Tamandua tetradactyla: one gene and its partner. The protein of the gene in region 1 binds, or shares a complex with, the protein of each later gene. Links are inferred from orthologs where the notes say so. Each region holds a gene or a part of one and is shown on either strand. Other genes may lie near its edges.

What was found. The genes of interacting proteins can lie anywhere in the genome.
Region 2: the proteins of NDUFAB1 (region 1) and LYRM4 are in contact, whole or in part, in a crystal structure (PDB 6ODD), measured with the Homo sapiens proteins. The link is inferred for Tamandua tetradactyla from reciprocal best matches to the Homo sapiens genes NDUFAB1 and LYRM4. Residues at the interface, in NP_004994.1 of Homo sapiens: Lys92, Asp111, Ser112, Leu113, Asp114, Val116, Glu117, Met120, Glu123, Asp124, Glu129, Ile130, Asp132; in NP_065141.3 of Homo sapiens: Arg6, Leu10, Ser11, Tyr13, Arg14, Leu17, Arg18, Lys21, Arg37, Phe40, Arg41, Lys44.

Annotation. Positions count from the first base shown.
Region 1 is NC_135349.1:33,482,459-33,490,491, forward strand, and holds the start of NDUFAB1 (acyl carrier protein, mitochondrial), read left to right. Parts: upstream 1-4,962; 5' UTR 4,963-5,006; coding exon 5,007-5,174; intron 5,175-8,033. UniProt on the Homo sapiens protein: Carrier of the growing fatty acid chain in fatty acid biosynthesis.
Region 2 is NC_135351.1:7,650,327-7,657,466, reverse strand, and holds the start of LYRM4 (LYR motif-containing protein 4), read left to right. Parts: upstream 1-4,049; 5' UTR 4,050-4,635; coding exon 4,636-4,721; intron 4,722-7,140.

The DNA.
Region 1 (8,033 bases):
TGAAACTAGGAGAGAGCTAAGTTCAAGTAAAAATACAAAGTGAAACTCGTGGAGAAGCAGGCCTTCTGTGAGATCCAATCACAGCTGCTGTGGACACCTGAACCCCCACTTGTCAATAAAGCACCTTCTGTCCAGCAAAAAAAAAAAAAAAAGCAAAACGCATTACAGATATCACTATGATTAGGATTGCTTTCCTGGTTGCTTTTGTCTTTTAGATGTGAGGATCGTATAACCCATAGCGAGTGGAGAGGACAGTTGCAGGCTAATGAAAGAATGAGAAATTGCTAGCGAAAACGGTTTAAGAAGCAGCTTTTCTATCTGAGTCCATTGACGTATTAAGGGCCTATTTTGTGCTGGGCCCTGTCCAAGGCACAAGTAAGTTACATGAAGAAGTGGCACAAATGCCCATGATTTCCACTCCTGCCACATTACGTTCTCTTTCCCAGACCAGAGCTATGGCCTCTTGGGGAGTTCCTTACAGTGAATTGACTGAGGAAGAGAAAATTCGGGCCTGGTTTACAGATGGTTCAGCACGATATGCAGGTACCACCCCAAAGTGGACAGCTGCAGCATTACAACCCCTTTCTGGGGTGTCCTTGAAGGACAGTGGTGAGGGGAAATCCTCCCAGTGGGCAGAACTTTGAGCAGTGCACCTGGTTGTTCATTTTGCTTGGAAGGAAAACTGGCCAGAGGTGCGTTTGTATACTGACTCATGAGCTATTGATAATGGTTTGGCTGGATGGTCAGGGACTTGGAAAGAGCATAATTGGAAAATTGGTGACAAAGAGGTCTGGGGAAGAAGTATGTAGATAGACCTTTCTGAGTGGGCTAAAAATATGAAGATATTTGTGTCCCATGTGAAGGCACACCAGAGGGTGACTTCAGCAGAGGAAGGTTTTAATAATCAAGTGGATAAGATAACCCGTTCTGTGGATACCAGTCAGCATCTATCCCCAGCAACTCCTGTCATTGCCCAATGGGCTCATGAACAAAGTGGTCATGGTGGTAGGGATGGAGGTTATGCATGGGCTCAGCAACATGGACTTCCACTCACCAAGGCTGACCTGCCATCAGCCACTGCTGAATGCCCAATCTGCCAGCAGCAGAGACCCACACTCAGCCCCCAATATGGCACCATTCCCCGAGATGACCAGCCAGCTACATGGTGGCAGGTTGATTACATTGGACCACTCCCTTCATGGAAGGGGCAGCGATTTGTTCTAACTGGAATAGACACATACTCTGGATATGGGTTTGCTTTCCCTGCACGCAATGCTTCTGCCAAAACTACCATCCGTGGGCTTACAGAATGCCTTATCCATCGTCGTGGTATTCCACATAGCATTGCTTCGGATCAAGGAACACACTTCACAGCAAATGAAGTGCGGGAATGGGCACATGCTCATGGAATTCTCTGGTCTTACCATGTTCCCCATCATCCAGAAGCAGCTGGATTGATAGAACGGTGGAATGGCCTTTTGAAAACTCAATTACGGTACCAACTAGGTGGCAAAAACTTGAAAGGCTGGGGTAATGTTCTCCAGGAAGCTGTGTATGCTCTGAATCAGCGTCCGCTGTATGGTGCTGTTTCTCCCATAACCAGGATCCATGGGTCCAGGAACCAAGGGGTGGAAATGGGTGTGGTACCACTCACTATTACGCCTAGTGATCCACTAGGAAAATTTTTGCTTCCTGTCCCTGCTACCCTGAGCTCTGCTGGTCTATAGGTTTTAGTTCCAAAACGGGGTGTGCTTTCTCCAGGAGAAACAACAATGATACCACTGAACTGGAAGTTAAGGTTGCCACCTGGTCACTTTGGGCTACTTATACCTCTGGATCAACAAGCCAAGAAGGAGATTACATTATTGTCTGGGGTAACTGACCCTGACTATCAGAAGGACGTCGGACTGCAACTACATAATGGAGGTAAAGAAGAGTTTTCTTGGAATATAGGAGATCCCCTAGGGCATCTGTCATGGTTAGGGACAGGTGTCAACTTGGCCAAGTTGTGGTACCTGTTCATCTGATTGGGCAAGCGCTGGCCTGTCCGTTGCAATGAGGACATTTCATAGGATTAGGTCATGATCACATCAGCTACATCCACAGCTAATTCCATTTGTAATCAGCCAAAGGGGAGTGTCTTCTGCAATTAGTGATGCTAAATGCAATCATGGGAAGCCTTTTAAGGAGGACTCAGAGGAGACAGGTTCCATTCCTGCTTTGGCTGGTGAGCCTCTCCTGTGGAGTTCATCCAGGCCATCCATCGGAGTCATCGGCTTCGCAGCCTGCCCTGTGGATTTTGGACTCTGCGTTCCTACGGTCACGTGAGACACTTTCATAAATTTTATATTTGCAAGTGTTCCCTGTTGATTCTGTTTCTCTAGAGAACCCTAACTAATACAGCATCTATTAGTACTACCATGCCCTGTGATTAAAATCAATGGAAAACTGCAACAACACAATCCAGGCAAGGCTACTATTGGCTCTGAAACTTCAGGAATGAAGATTTGAGTCACCCCACTAGGCAAAGAACCACGGTCAGCTGAAGTGCTTCCTGAGGGTAAAGGGAACATGGGATGAGTAGTGGAAGAAGGTAGTGATAAATATGAACTTCAACCACGTGATCAGTTACAGAAACGAGGACTGTAATGCTGTTTTGTTCATGTTATACTATTTAAGTTGTAAGATATCAAGTTTAAGAATGAATGTTGCCCAAGGATTTGCACCCTATTCTGGAGAGATTTAATGTGTTTCCAGTTATATGCAGGATAGTTGAGTATTGTTAGGAAAAAGAAAAAAATTTGTGCTTATTTGTTTTCATTTGGAAATTAAGTATGGTTTAAGGTGATATATATATATAGGTGCCAAGTTGACAAGGGGTGGACTGTCATGGTTAGGGACATGTGTCAACTTGGCCAAGTTGTGGTACCTGTTTATCTGATTGGGCAAGTGCTGGCCTGTCTGTTGCAATGAGGACATTTCATAGGATTAGGTCATGATCACGTCAGTTGATTCCATTTGTAATCAGCCAAAGGGGAGTGTCTTCTACAATTAGTGATGCTATATCTAATCACGGGAAGCTTTTTAAGGAGGACTCAAAGGAGACAGGTCCCATTCCTGCTTCCGCTGGTGAGCCTCTCCTGTGGAGTTCATCCAGACCATCCATTGGATTCGTCGGGTTCACAGCCTGCCCTGTAGATTTTGGACCCTGCGTTCCTGCAGTCACGTGAGACACTTTTATAAATTTTATATTTGCAAGTGTTCCCTGTTGATTCTGTTTCTCTAGAGAACCCGAACTAATACAACATCCTTTGATGGCACACAGAGTGTTAAAGAAAAGTACCATATCCTCTCTTAAATCTTCCCCAGCTGCTAAGGATTTGACATCAATCTTAATATTATACCTTTTACCCTACAGACCATGTAGGCTAGCATTTTCTCTTCATGTGTTTGCTAAAAGTAAAAGCAGCTATCCCAACCAACAAACCATTTAAATGCAAAGTGATGTATTATTTTTGATGGTCACGGGGAAGAGATAGTGCAAAGAGCAGATGTAGTAGGCTATCAGGGTCTTTCTGAGCATACCCCCTTATTCTGCAGGCGCCACTATGGATCTGTCCAAACTCCAGGGTGTGACCTGGAGGGAGGAATCAGAAGCTGGCATGTCACTGTTGACCCAAGCGGATCCTATGTGCCCTGGTCCCAGGTTCAAACAGAGATTTGGAGTCAGTCAGTTTTCCACAGAAATGGAAGGCTGCCAACTCAACAGCCTTTGGTCATCCCAAAGAGGTGATACAATTGCTCTTCTTACTGCTAATAAACAGTGAGGTCGTGATGAAGTCAGCATACAGGAAAAGCCTGCCATGAACTGCCAGCACTGCTGTAAGGACTTTCGTTGGCATCACCAGCTGCAGAGTGATTCTTGAGGTTCTGTTTTCCCTCCCCTGATCCATTAAGGTCTCAGCTCAAACATTCTTTCCTAAGAGACACCTTCAGGGCCCACCCTTTCTAAAATAAGAGCTCTGAACTCCCTCATTATCCCCTTCTCTGCTTTCTTTTTCTTCATGGTACTTATCACTACTTCCTGGAGGATTGGGGTTTTGTTGTTGTTGTTGTTTTGGGGGGCAGGGAGAGTGGGGACAGGTGTGTGTGGTTTACTTATTATTGTCTATCTCTTCTCACTAGAATGCAAACTCCAGGAGACTGGACTACAGTCTGGTTTGTCCACTGATAGCCTCAGCTACTAGCACATAACAGATCTACGCAATAATTTTTACTGAATGCATAGATAAAATAATTTTACAATCGTGTGATCATACTATGCATTCTACTTTAAATGACAAGCATTACATTTTATTTTACTTGAATTTAACAAAAGTTTACTTGAATTTAACTGAAGAAAAACCGACGGCATTGTTACATTCATCCAGGCAGTCCTCAGAGATGGGAGTTGTTTCAATTTCTACCAACATCCTTAGGCTTTCAACTAAGAAATAGGAGCAAATAAGCAGAATACTTCAACTTCTCCCCATTTCCCATTTTTGTTAAACTGTGTTATTTATACATTGTCAAACTTTAAAACGTGTTCCTGTTTTTATTGTAATACCACATTTATTAGTCTTACATATTTACACTGATTCTTATTTTTTCACATTCTTATTTTGTACCATCTGAGTTTTTGACTTATTAAATAAGTCTGAATACCTATGGGAGAACCACGGCATCAAACCTTTATATAAATGTATTTCAGAACTTTCAGATAAGTAAAAATAGTACCTTTCTCTGTTAACTACTAATTTTTAGGGAAAGACCCTACCTGCGCAGTTTTGCACCTGTGGCCTCTGAACCAGCGTGGCCGAGCAGCGCGGCTCCCAGGGCGCAGTACCGCCAGGAGCCGCCCCAGCCGGCGGCGCCCGACCGCGTGGCTCTGTCCGGCCCCTGCGCCTCGCGATAAAAGAAATCTGAGCCTGAGACAACAGCGCAGTGCATCCTGGGTCGGCGTAGTCATGGCGGCTCGTGTCCTTTCAGCCTGTGTCCGTCGCCTGTCCGCGGCTTTCACGCCGCTGCCCCGGGCCGGTACGCTAGGTGCGGCCCGACCGCTCAGCACAGCCCTGTGCCCCTCAGGGATCCGGACGAGGCCTGCGGCTCCACAGCCGGTCTTGGTGCTGGCGCAGGTAACTAGCGGTGACTTTGCTGGGGCCCGGCAGGGGTCAGGCACCCTGCCCGCTCGGGAGTTGGGGGCGGGCCGACCGGGGGCCACGGGGCCGCTCCAGGTGCAGGCGAGAGTGACTCCAGGGGTGTCTGGCTCGCTGCCACCCCCGCTGCCTAACGGCGCTTGTCTCATCTGCCCCGAGGCGGGTGGCCTAGTGATTACGAAGAAGAGCACAGATCCCTGGGTTCGAATTCTCGCTGCCACTTACTGAAACTTTGGCTAGGTCTCGTAACCTCTCTAAGCCTCAATCCGAATAAAATTGGAATACTAGTCTCTGCCTTACGGAGCAGCAGCGAGGTGCTTGGTAAGCTCCCAAAATATTGGAATATGTTAGCTCTAGTGGTAATATAAAAACCATGGTAGCTTTCTAAGAGAAGGTCAATGATATGCAAAGACTAAGGCACACTGGTCCACAGCCTTCTCCAGAGCTGTTTTCTCCCTGAATTTCTGTCCTAATTTTTCCTTATGGCATCTTTTTTTTGCCTGTTTCTAGACGTCCTGGAACCAAGAATAGGAAACAAGTAGTATTTAGCTTTCTTATCTATGAGACTGAAACTCTCCATAGAGCACAACTTCACCTGCACATTCAAATCACCTGGGTAACTTTAAAAAATATCACCTCCCCCCACCCCAACCCCAATTCTGATTCTCTCCTCTGGAATGAATCCCTGGTATAATTTTTTATTTTAAGTTCCTCAGGTGAATGAAGTGCAATAATGATTAAGAACTACTGCTTCAGCATAGGTCAGACTCGAGGTCAAGTTGAGAAACCCCTTTTCAAAGTCATGGGCCACGTGTTGTTTCAATCTTAACTGCATGTTAGAATAAAAAATAAAGATGCCCAGGTCAATTTCCTCAGAATTTCTAGAGGTGGAACTTGTAGGCATCTGCTTTTTAAATCCCCATGTGATTCTTTGTGCAGCCAATGTTGACATTCATTGACAGTGTAAGAATTAATTTATAGGACAGTCTTGTTGGTTGAATTAAAAGGTTAAAATGTCAGCTTGTAGTTGAGGACTAAGAAAGCAGTGAGCCCAGTGTTTATTTCTGAGACACATTTGCAAAGTGGTTTTTCCTATTCCTAGAGCATTGATTCTCAAACCTGACTGTGCTGGCAGATCACCTGGGCTAAAAATGCAGCTTCTGATTCAGTAGCTCTGAGGATTTGCATGTCCATTGGGCTCTCAGGAGATGCTGATGCTGCTGGTCCTTGAACCATGTTTTGAGTAGCAAGGTGCTTGGAGGTGTTTCCCTACCTTGGCTTGATTCATACAGCAGAGGAATCATTTTATTTATATTTACAAAATAGTTTTGACCATGTGCTCCTATATATCGTTTGTGGATTAAAGTGGAAAATAAATACCTATCATTCAAAGATAACTGAAGGATAGCTCTGTGTGCCAGGCCTTCCACTAGTTGTGGAGAGATGCAGAGATGGATACAAAAGAAAGACATTAGCTCATGTCTTCAATAGACATTGCAGCCTTTATGTTATACTTGCCAGCTCTTTGCCCAGTGCTCTATGTTCCCTGGGCTGTTAAGTCACTATTTCCCATGGTTCTTCCCTTACCTCTCTATACCTACGCTGTGTCCTTGGACTCTTTCTCTGTCCAATCCTTAAATATCTGTGCGTTTTACAGTTCTCTTACCACTCTTCTTGAACTCCCTCTTCTGCTCACAATTTCTATTATTGCCTGTACACAAACCACCTCCAGCCATTCATCATCTCTCATCTGGACTATTGCTCATTCCACTCATTCCCTGCTGTCAGGTTTTCCCTCTTCAAATTCATCCATTATGCCAACTCCAGAATGACTTGTTATTTATTATACACTTTAAAAAAAGAAAAGACCTACGGCAGCTTTTCTGGGTATAAAATACAAGATGATATAAATTAGAAGAAGGTGAGAAAAAAGAAAAACAAGGGTAGTGACCTGAAATGGAGACCGGAAGTCTATAATTGATCCCGTGGGCCCTTAATCAAAACTTTTTTGCAACTAGAACACAAAATGAAGTTCCAGTTGGTTCTGTGGGGCCCATACCCAGATGAAGACAAACCACTTGTGCAGAAAAAGCTCAACACTTTGGGTACTAGAGCCAGACTGACAACTATGACAGGGCTGGACTCAGAGTTGAGGTCTGTCCACATCATTCATTCCCCAGTAAGTCAAGTCCTTGGCCTTGAAGGCCCTGCCTCTCTTCAGCCAATTATCAGTGTACTGTTGTGCCCTGTATCTGCAACCACATAGGCTCCTTTTCATTTTTTCCCCACACAGACTCTATACTTTCATGCCTCCTTTCCTTTTCTTGGCCTGACCCTCCTCTCTGAATAATCTGTCCCCATTCTTTGCCTGGCTCACTGCAAGTCTGGTTATCTCCTTCCCTGCCTCTCAAGGATGTTATGAGAAGTTGTTACTGAAGCAGCCTACAAATACTGCTGTCATGGCTCTTACCACATTTTATTAAAATGAAAATGACCTCTTTGACTGACCTTTATTTTGGGGGGGGGGGGGGGATTGCTCTTTTACATTAGACCCTGAGCTTCTCTGAGGAAGGTGGAGACCACCCCTTAATTCTTTCCAGTCCATAGCACAGTGCTGGGCACACAGGTAATGCCTAAAATACAGTTAAACCTGACAGGCTGCCTGAGACTGTCATGTAAATAGATAAAGGGAAGACACTGCAACATGTGGAACAGGTGAATGTAGAGTGCAGAAGCAAGGAGAGTGTGCATTAACCTCTCAGTGAGCATGATCTTGAAGGCAGCAGTTTCTCAAATAGTTAGGGGTGGCTGTAGTGGCATATGCAGAGACAGGAAGCA
Region 2 (7,140 bases), on another chromosome or scaffold:
ACTAAATCCCCCCAAACCCAATACCAGCACTTCCTTCTCCATGAACTTCCATAGATTAATGTTTCTCGGCCCTGGCTGCACAATTTCCTGGACCTCAGGGGATTTTACGCAGCTAATAAAGTGTGGCCCAGACATCAGTCACTGGAGGAACCCCTCCTTCCTCTAAGACTCCATAGCACTTCATCAGTACTTCCCTTACAGCACTTGTTCCTTCCAGCCCCATATTTTAATTACATACAAACTGTATTTAAACTGTAAACTCCTGAAGAACAATAATTGTGTTTGATTTTTAGCCCCCAAGTCACCACAAGAACAGTGGTGTGCACTAACAGGCTCATCAACTACCCGTTGAACAGAAAGATAAAATAAACAAAATTTCAGTGTTCCTGGAATATAGGACACAAAAATATGGCTTGAAACACAAGCCTATCAACATCTGGAAAACTAATCTCCATGTCAACAGCTCAGAGGTTGCCTTAGGTGAACTACCTAATGCCTTAAAGAAAAGGCATCACACCAAAAGAAGAAGCAGTCTTAAAATAAAGCAGGACACTGCTAAACTCTTCTATGGACTCACAGATGGTCCCTATCCTCACCCCACCTCCCCATTCCAAACCACTTAAAAGTTCCCCAAATAAATCTTGCACCCTCATGCCTCCATACTTTGAACATACACTGCAATCTCTAATTTATTACATTCTTCTTCTTTATTACTCATTTTTGGAAATACCTCTACTGAAAAGCCTTCCCTTATATCAAAGCCCTGGTTGAATGCCTCTTTTCTGTATTCCCCTACAATGTTCTATGGGTTGAATTATGTCCCCCAAAAAAGAAACTAACCCCTGGTTTGTGACTATGATATTATTTGGAAATAGGATCTTTGACTACATAGTTAATTAAAATGAGGCCAAAACGGATTAGGGTGAGTCCTAATCAAATAACACTGGTGTCCTCACAAGAGGAAAATATGGACACCAGTATACTGAAAGACAGAGGCAGAAACTGGAGTTCTGTTGCCAAGGATTGCCACTAACAGAAGCCGTAGAGGGGCATGAAACAGATGCTTCCCTATACACTTCAGAGGGAGCACAGCCCTTTCAAAACCTTGAATTGAGACTTTCAGCCTCCAAAACAGTGAGACAATAAATTTGTGCTATTTTAAGCCACCAAGTTTGGGGTAATTTTTTATGGCAGCCCAAGGAAATTAAGATATAACCGTATCAGAACACAGGTCAAAAATAAATTCTTGCTTTTCTTATCCAGTCCTCTACTGCTCTCAAGAAGGATGGACCCTCATAACTTCTTATATCTATCATCTTGTATAACTCTTGTAACTATCATCTTGTATAACACATTGCACTTGGGAAGTATTCAATAAAAGCTGAATGAATGAACGAGAAAAAGGGCTTCGGAATGTTCACCTGAAAGTATGAGAGTTGATGTGCAAGGTCCCTTTCAATTTCATCATTCTATAAGGATGAAATACAAATAAAAGTAATGAGGAAATAAAGATTTAAAGATCCATGCATGGAGTAAAATAACATCTAAATGATAATATCAGAAGTTGCTATTCTATACAAGATTTTCTTTACACATTTTGATATTTCAACTTAAGGACAGTAAACTGCCATTATGCTGTCTATTACATTTGAAGAAATTTCACAAAGCATTAAGTGCTCATTGACAATACTAATTTTAATGCAAGGTAATATATGATTTTACATAGGTGGTTAAAGTATTAACTATGGATAGTAAATATAAGGAAAGTTTTATATTCTGAGGCCTAAGTGACAGTAAAGTAGGGAGTACCCCCTAGTTTAGATTCACTTATCTGTGAAATTTCTTGGCCCAAAATAGAATGGACACATGAACAAGGTCCATTCACAGCTTCTGGCGCAATTCCACTTTCAACCTCAAATAGTGCTATTATTAAAAAGAGTCAGGGTGCATCAGTGGTTCAGTGGTAGAAGGCTCACCTTCCAAGTGGGAGACCCGGGTTCAATTTCTGGACTATGCACCCAAAAAAAAATTCATCTCTGCAATAGCAATGTGCAAAAAACAAGATTTAGCTTTCTTATGTGATTTTTTTTATTAGTCTTTCAAGAAAATGACATCCAACATTCCGGTAAATCATTTCAAACAAAATAATAAAATGTTTTTGGAAAACTTAGCTTAGAATTAGTTGGTAAACTATAGCTTTCTTCACTGATGACTGCTCAACCATTCACTGCACTAACAAATAATTAGACTACTCAAGCAAACTATTTAAATTTTACCCATTTATTTGGAAAGTTTTATTTGATTACAACAAAGCTAAAAGTCATCTAAATAAACTGATTAAACTGCTTGAAAACTACTAGGCATGAATAATTGTAGAAAGTTAACAATTAGGCCAAATTCATCTTCTAGATGAACGCAAAATAGAGTAAAATAATGCAATACTCAGTATTTGTAAAAAAGCAAAATTATTTTCAGTTTTTTTCCTTCTCACTTTGATAAGTTTTCTCTGTCAGTAACTTGCATTAACACTGTATTTTTCCAGGTATTTTTCTTAGCCTTGAATATAGCTTACGAAATATCAAAACGGAAAACACAAAATATTAAAAGCCTCTTCAATAAATCCCAGGCAAGATTTACCCAATAACCTGACCAACCCGCAAGAATGACAAAAGTCCTGCTATTCAGTTTTAAAAAAATCCATTTTAAGATACGTGGATGCATGAGAAAGAAATCAGACAGGAGGATTAAAAGCATTTTACTAAAAGCATTTTCTCTTCAATTCCTTTTTGTTAAGTGTCATTGCAATAAGACGAGTAAGTATACCTGGATGCACCGACAGCCTGTTGCAAGTAGACTAAGGTATTGGTAGAGTCAGAGAAATATTTTCTGCCCTTAAAATTCCTGGAAATAGGAGCTTGCTTTGATACGGAACAAATGTCCACAATTTGGGTGCTGAGTAATAGTTTCAAATCTAGAAGAGATAAGAACATAGCCATAGCTCGGTGGTTGAAAAAAGACGCGTGTCAATGCGCCCTTGTTTGTTTTTACGCATGAAGTTACTCCTCCCAGTGTTTTGGGACAGGAAGCTGTGATTGTTCCTAACGTTGATCATATGCAGGAAGACTCAGAATAAGTGAGGTGTTCTGCAACACCATTTCCAGAACTCGCTCAGGCTTCCCTGCACCCAGTCCCACGCTCAAGAATCAGGAAGAGCAACTTTATCCACCACTTCTAAAGACGTTATTCAGAAAAGCTGAAGTCTTATGACAAAGGCCACTGAAGAAAACTTTTCCACGAAAAGCTTCAGGTAAAACTTGCTCGGCTTCTGGCCTTGGGTCTGAAATGATTCCAGGAATCCCTAAAACCCTAAAGGTCCCCAATCAGTCGCCCAAATTTTGAGTTCAGGCCTCCCGCCGTTTTATGCATTTATTAAATTACAAAACTCTGAGGGATTCAAAAGCAAAAACTTGAGAGCCTAAAATATGAAGCTAAAACGGGAATATCCACGACCAGGTGCTAACTCCCTCCCAAACCAACCGCCAGCGTTGCGTCCCCAAGCTGCAGTGAGGCCGGCACTCACCCACCGCTCGCCCCGGAAAACCCGGATCTGGGGGAGGTCAGAGTCAGAAGCGCAGCAGGCCTATTCGCTCGTAGCGAGAAGGGACTTAACGCACCCAGTTCAGAGCCGCTCCTGCACGCAGGGCGCGGCCATTTTGACAAAATGTGGGCCCTACGCCGGAGGCACCTTAGCCTGTCGCCCTAAGCAGAGCCGGAGCGAAACGGAGCCCCCAGCCCGTGCCCTCCGAGCCCCCCGAGCCCTGTCCCTGCACGCGACGAGTGCCCCACGGCCCAGGCCCGCAGACAGGCCTCGGCGGAAACGCAGATCCCAGAAACAGCCCCGAGCACCGCCATTCAGGCAGCGCCGAGGGCGGCCGTGGCCAACGGGGCGGGGCATCGACGGCCGGGGGCGGCGCTTTCCCAAGAGCGGGCGTTTGGCTGGGGGTAAGACGTCGGAGGCAGGGGGCGGGGCTTCGGAGGCAGGGGGCGGGGCGCCGGGGCGTGCTTGGTAACCCAGGCAACGCACTCCGGGGTTGTCTTAGGTAGCTCCGGGACTCACCGAAGTTCCTCCGCGCGATGCGTCCCCAGAAAAAAACGTCTCCTCCGCGACTCGGGGCGGTCAGCTAAAAGGCATCCTGGTCGATGCTCGCCCTCACGGCCTAGCCTCCACCCGCGGTTATCAAGAAGGCGGCTGGGTGCGGGCGGCCCCCCCAAAGGCCGCCCGTCCCGCCTTCGCAGCCCTAGACCTTTTTCCAACCTGGTTGTCCTGGAGCTCCGTCCGCCGCCCCACCCGGCCGCGCCCCTTAGCTGCCCCGGCCCTGCCTGCGGCCTTCCTCGGGAGGGCACGGGCCTCCTGGGCGCCTTCAGAGATTGGCAAGGCCGTCGCGCTCTGCAGACGCAGCCTGAGGCCCGCCGCCCGCCAGCGAAAACAACGCGCTCTATTTCATTTCCTTCGTGGGTTTGTTTTTTGTTTTGTTTTGTTTTGTTTTGCAAAGGCGGAAATTTGGTGGTTTGCGGTAGACGCGGGACTTCTACGAAGAGGACCCGTTTACTTTTTTTTCCGCCCCCCTGTCCAAAATGGCAGCCTCCAGTCGTGCACAGGTTTTAGATCTTTACCGGGCGATGCTGCGAGAAAGCAAGCATTTCAGCGCCTACAATTACAGGTGACCCGACGGGCGGAGCTGCGGGGACCGGGATGGGGCTGGGAGGGGCCGGGAGGGGCCGGGGGTTCCCAGGAATGTCCGGGGTGCATGGAACCCATGTGCCGGCGTCCTCAGGACAATCGCGGGAAGGGTCCCTCAGCCGAGGAGTGTGCCCCTTAAGACCTCGGGGTGAGTAGCAGTGGGTTTGCCCTTCCTTATCAGCGGGATGATGTCCAAGTCTTGTGACATTGTGCTCTCGGGGCACAGTTAGTGTTCCTTTTCTGCCATGAAAACGATGAACGTGGAAGCTGTAAGCGACAGACTGAAGACCAGGTTTCTTAATGTATAGAACTTTTCATAGAAGTTGAACAGTTGACAGTGGAAGTTACCGGCCGGTGGGACAGATCCATAAAGATGAAGGCTCGCGTTGGCCATCCCTTTTCTTTCCTAGATGTCTTAATTAGCTCTTTCAGCTGCGTGAACGAAATTCGTTTTCGTTAGGATATTGGTGAGGGCAAGGAGTAAAGGTGAGGAAGCTAATATATCAGTATCTGTAAGGGAAACAGAGTTCTCACCAGCTTGTAGAAGCAGAAACATTAGTTTATCCTGACGACAGCAGACCTGAATACAGCTTAGAAAACCTAAGCAGCATGAGAATGTGATTCTTAATCTAGTAACCGATCCTTAATGTTGCACACTCACTCCTTCAAGGTTTACCCTATTCTGTTTGTATGCTCGCAAGTCCCTTTTTCTTACACTTTGTGTATATCTATCTTTTCTCTACCTTAGAGCCTCAGCTTCTCATGTTTTCTGGCTCCTCATAACTTCTAGCCAATCATTAATGCTATATAAATGTAGAGATTCTCTCAGAGTCTGAATCATATTCCCAAGAGGAAGAATCTGATAGGACCAGCTCATCTCTTTAAACCAGGCCTCCTTTTAGGTGACTGCCCAGCCTCTGGATTCCCTGTCATAGGAGCTGATGCTTGCCCCTACCTGTAATTGTTAGATCTAGTACAACATCACTTAGTAGGCAGAAACACTTAAGCCTCTCAAACAGTGACTCTCTCTAAATGTTAGAAACCTGCATAGAAAGGGTACTCCTCCTGTAAACTTGAGAACAACATCTTGGACATGAGGTCATAGTCACCCAGTCAAGTGGTTAAAAGAAACTTTCATATGGCAGGTGTTAGTTTCCTAGCTGCTAGCACTAATAGCATACAATGTGTTGGCTTAACAACAGGAATTTGTTGCCCCATGATGTGGAGGTTAAGAGAGAAATTCAGGAATCAACAGGGCACTTTCTACACAGAGACTGACATTCTAGGGCTGGCTGCCAGTAATCCTTGGTCCTTGCCTTTTCTATGGCAGTGCGTATGGGCAGCATCTTCTTTCTCTTCTGGGTTCCATTCACTTCTGGCTGCTCCCCATGGCTCCCTTTTCCATGTCCAATTTCCTTTACTTAAAAGGAATTCAGCCCTATTAGATTAAGGCTCACCCTCCCTCAATATGAGCACATGTTAACTGATGGTATCTTCAAAGGTCTTCTTTACAAATAGGTTCACACCCACAGGCCACAGACCCAAACATGCCTTTCTGGGGGAACATGAGTCAGTCCCCAACAGAGAACATGGTTTTATTCAACGACTTTGGCTTTGGAAGGTAAAGGCTATGAACACTAGACATACTGATGGAAATTTTAACAAAAATTAAACACAACACCATGACTATCAAGGAAATCACTAAGTATGCATGTGAAAAAGTAGAAACCAGTCATTCTGGCCACAGTCTGGAAGAAGATATTTTGTCATCTAAATAGATTCAGAATAAACAAGGACTGGAAATCAGTTCACGGTTCACACACTGTGATAGAAGCCCTGGAAGAGTGTATAACCTTGACCTTTCTCCCAGCCTCACTGTAGTTCAGGTTTCTTGTTCATAAAATTAGGCTGTTGAACTAAATAATCTCTAATGACCCTTCCATTTCTAAAATTCCATTTGGAAATGATTTATGAGCCCACTGGTGAAATCAACAGATAAGTCTAGGTTTGTCCAAGTGAATTAATGCCAAGTCCACAGTGGGAAGCTGCAAGGTCTTTGAAGGCTATATCTAGTAGGCAGAAAATTGAAAAAAGAATTTTAGTGGGAGCAACTATAAGCTAATAAACATTTAGGAAAAAGTTCAAATTATGCTTCAAGGATATGCCTTTGAGCTAGGTTTATTATTCAGATATAAATGTACTGTCCAAAAGAATCTATTAATCATTTTATACTTTTATACTTTTTATACAAATTTTATACTTTTTCCTGAAATCATGACCCTAAGACCTGAGATTCTTACTAGGATCATGTCCTAAAATAAACCTATTATAAAATACATCCTTCTTTTGTATTAAGGTCATATTTTGCAGATTTCAAGGATATCCCTTTCTCCCCTCTC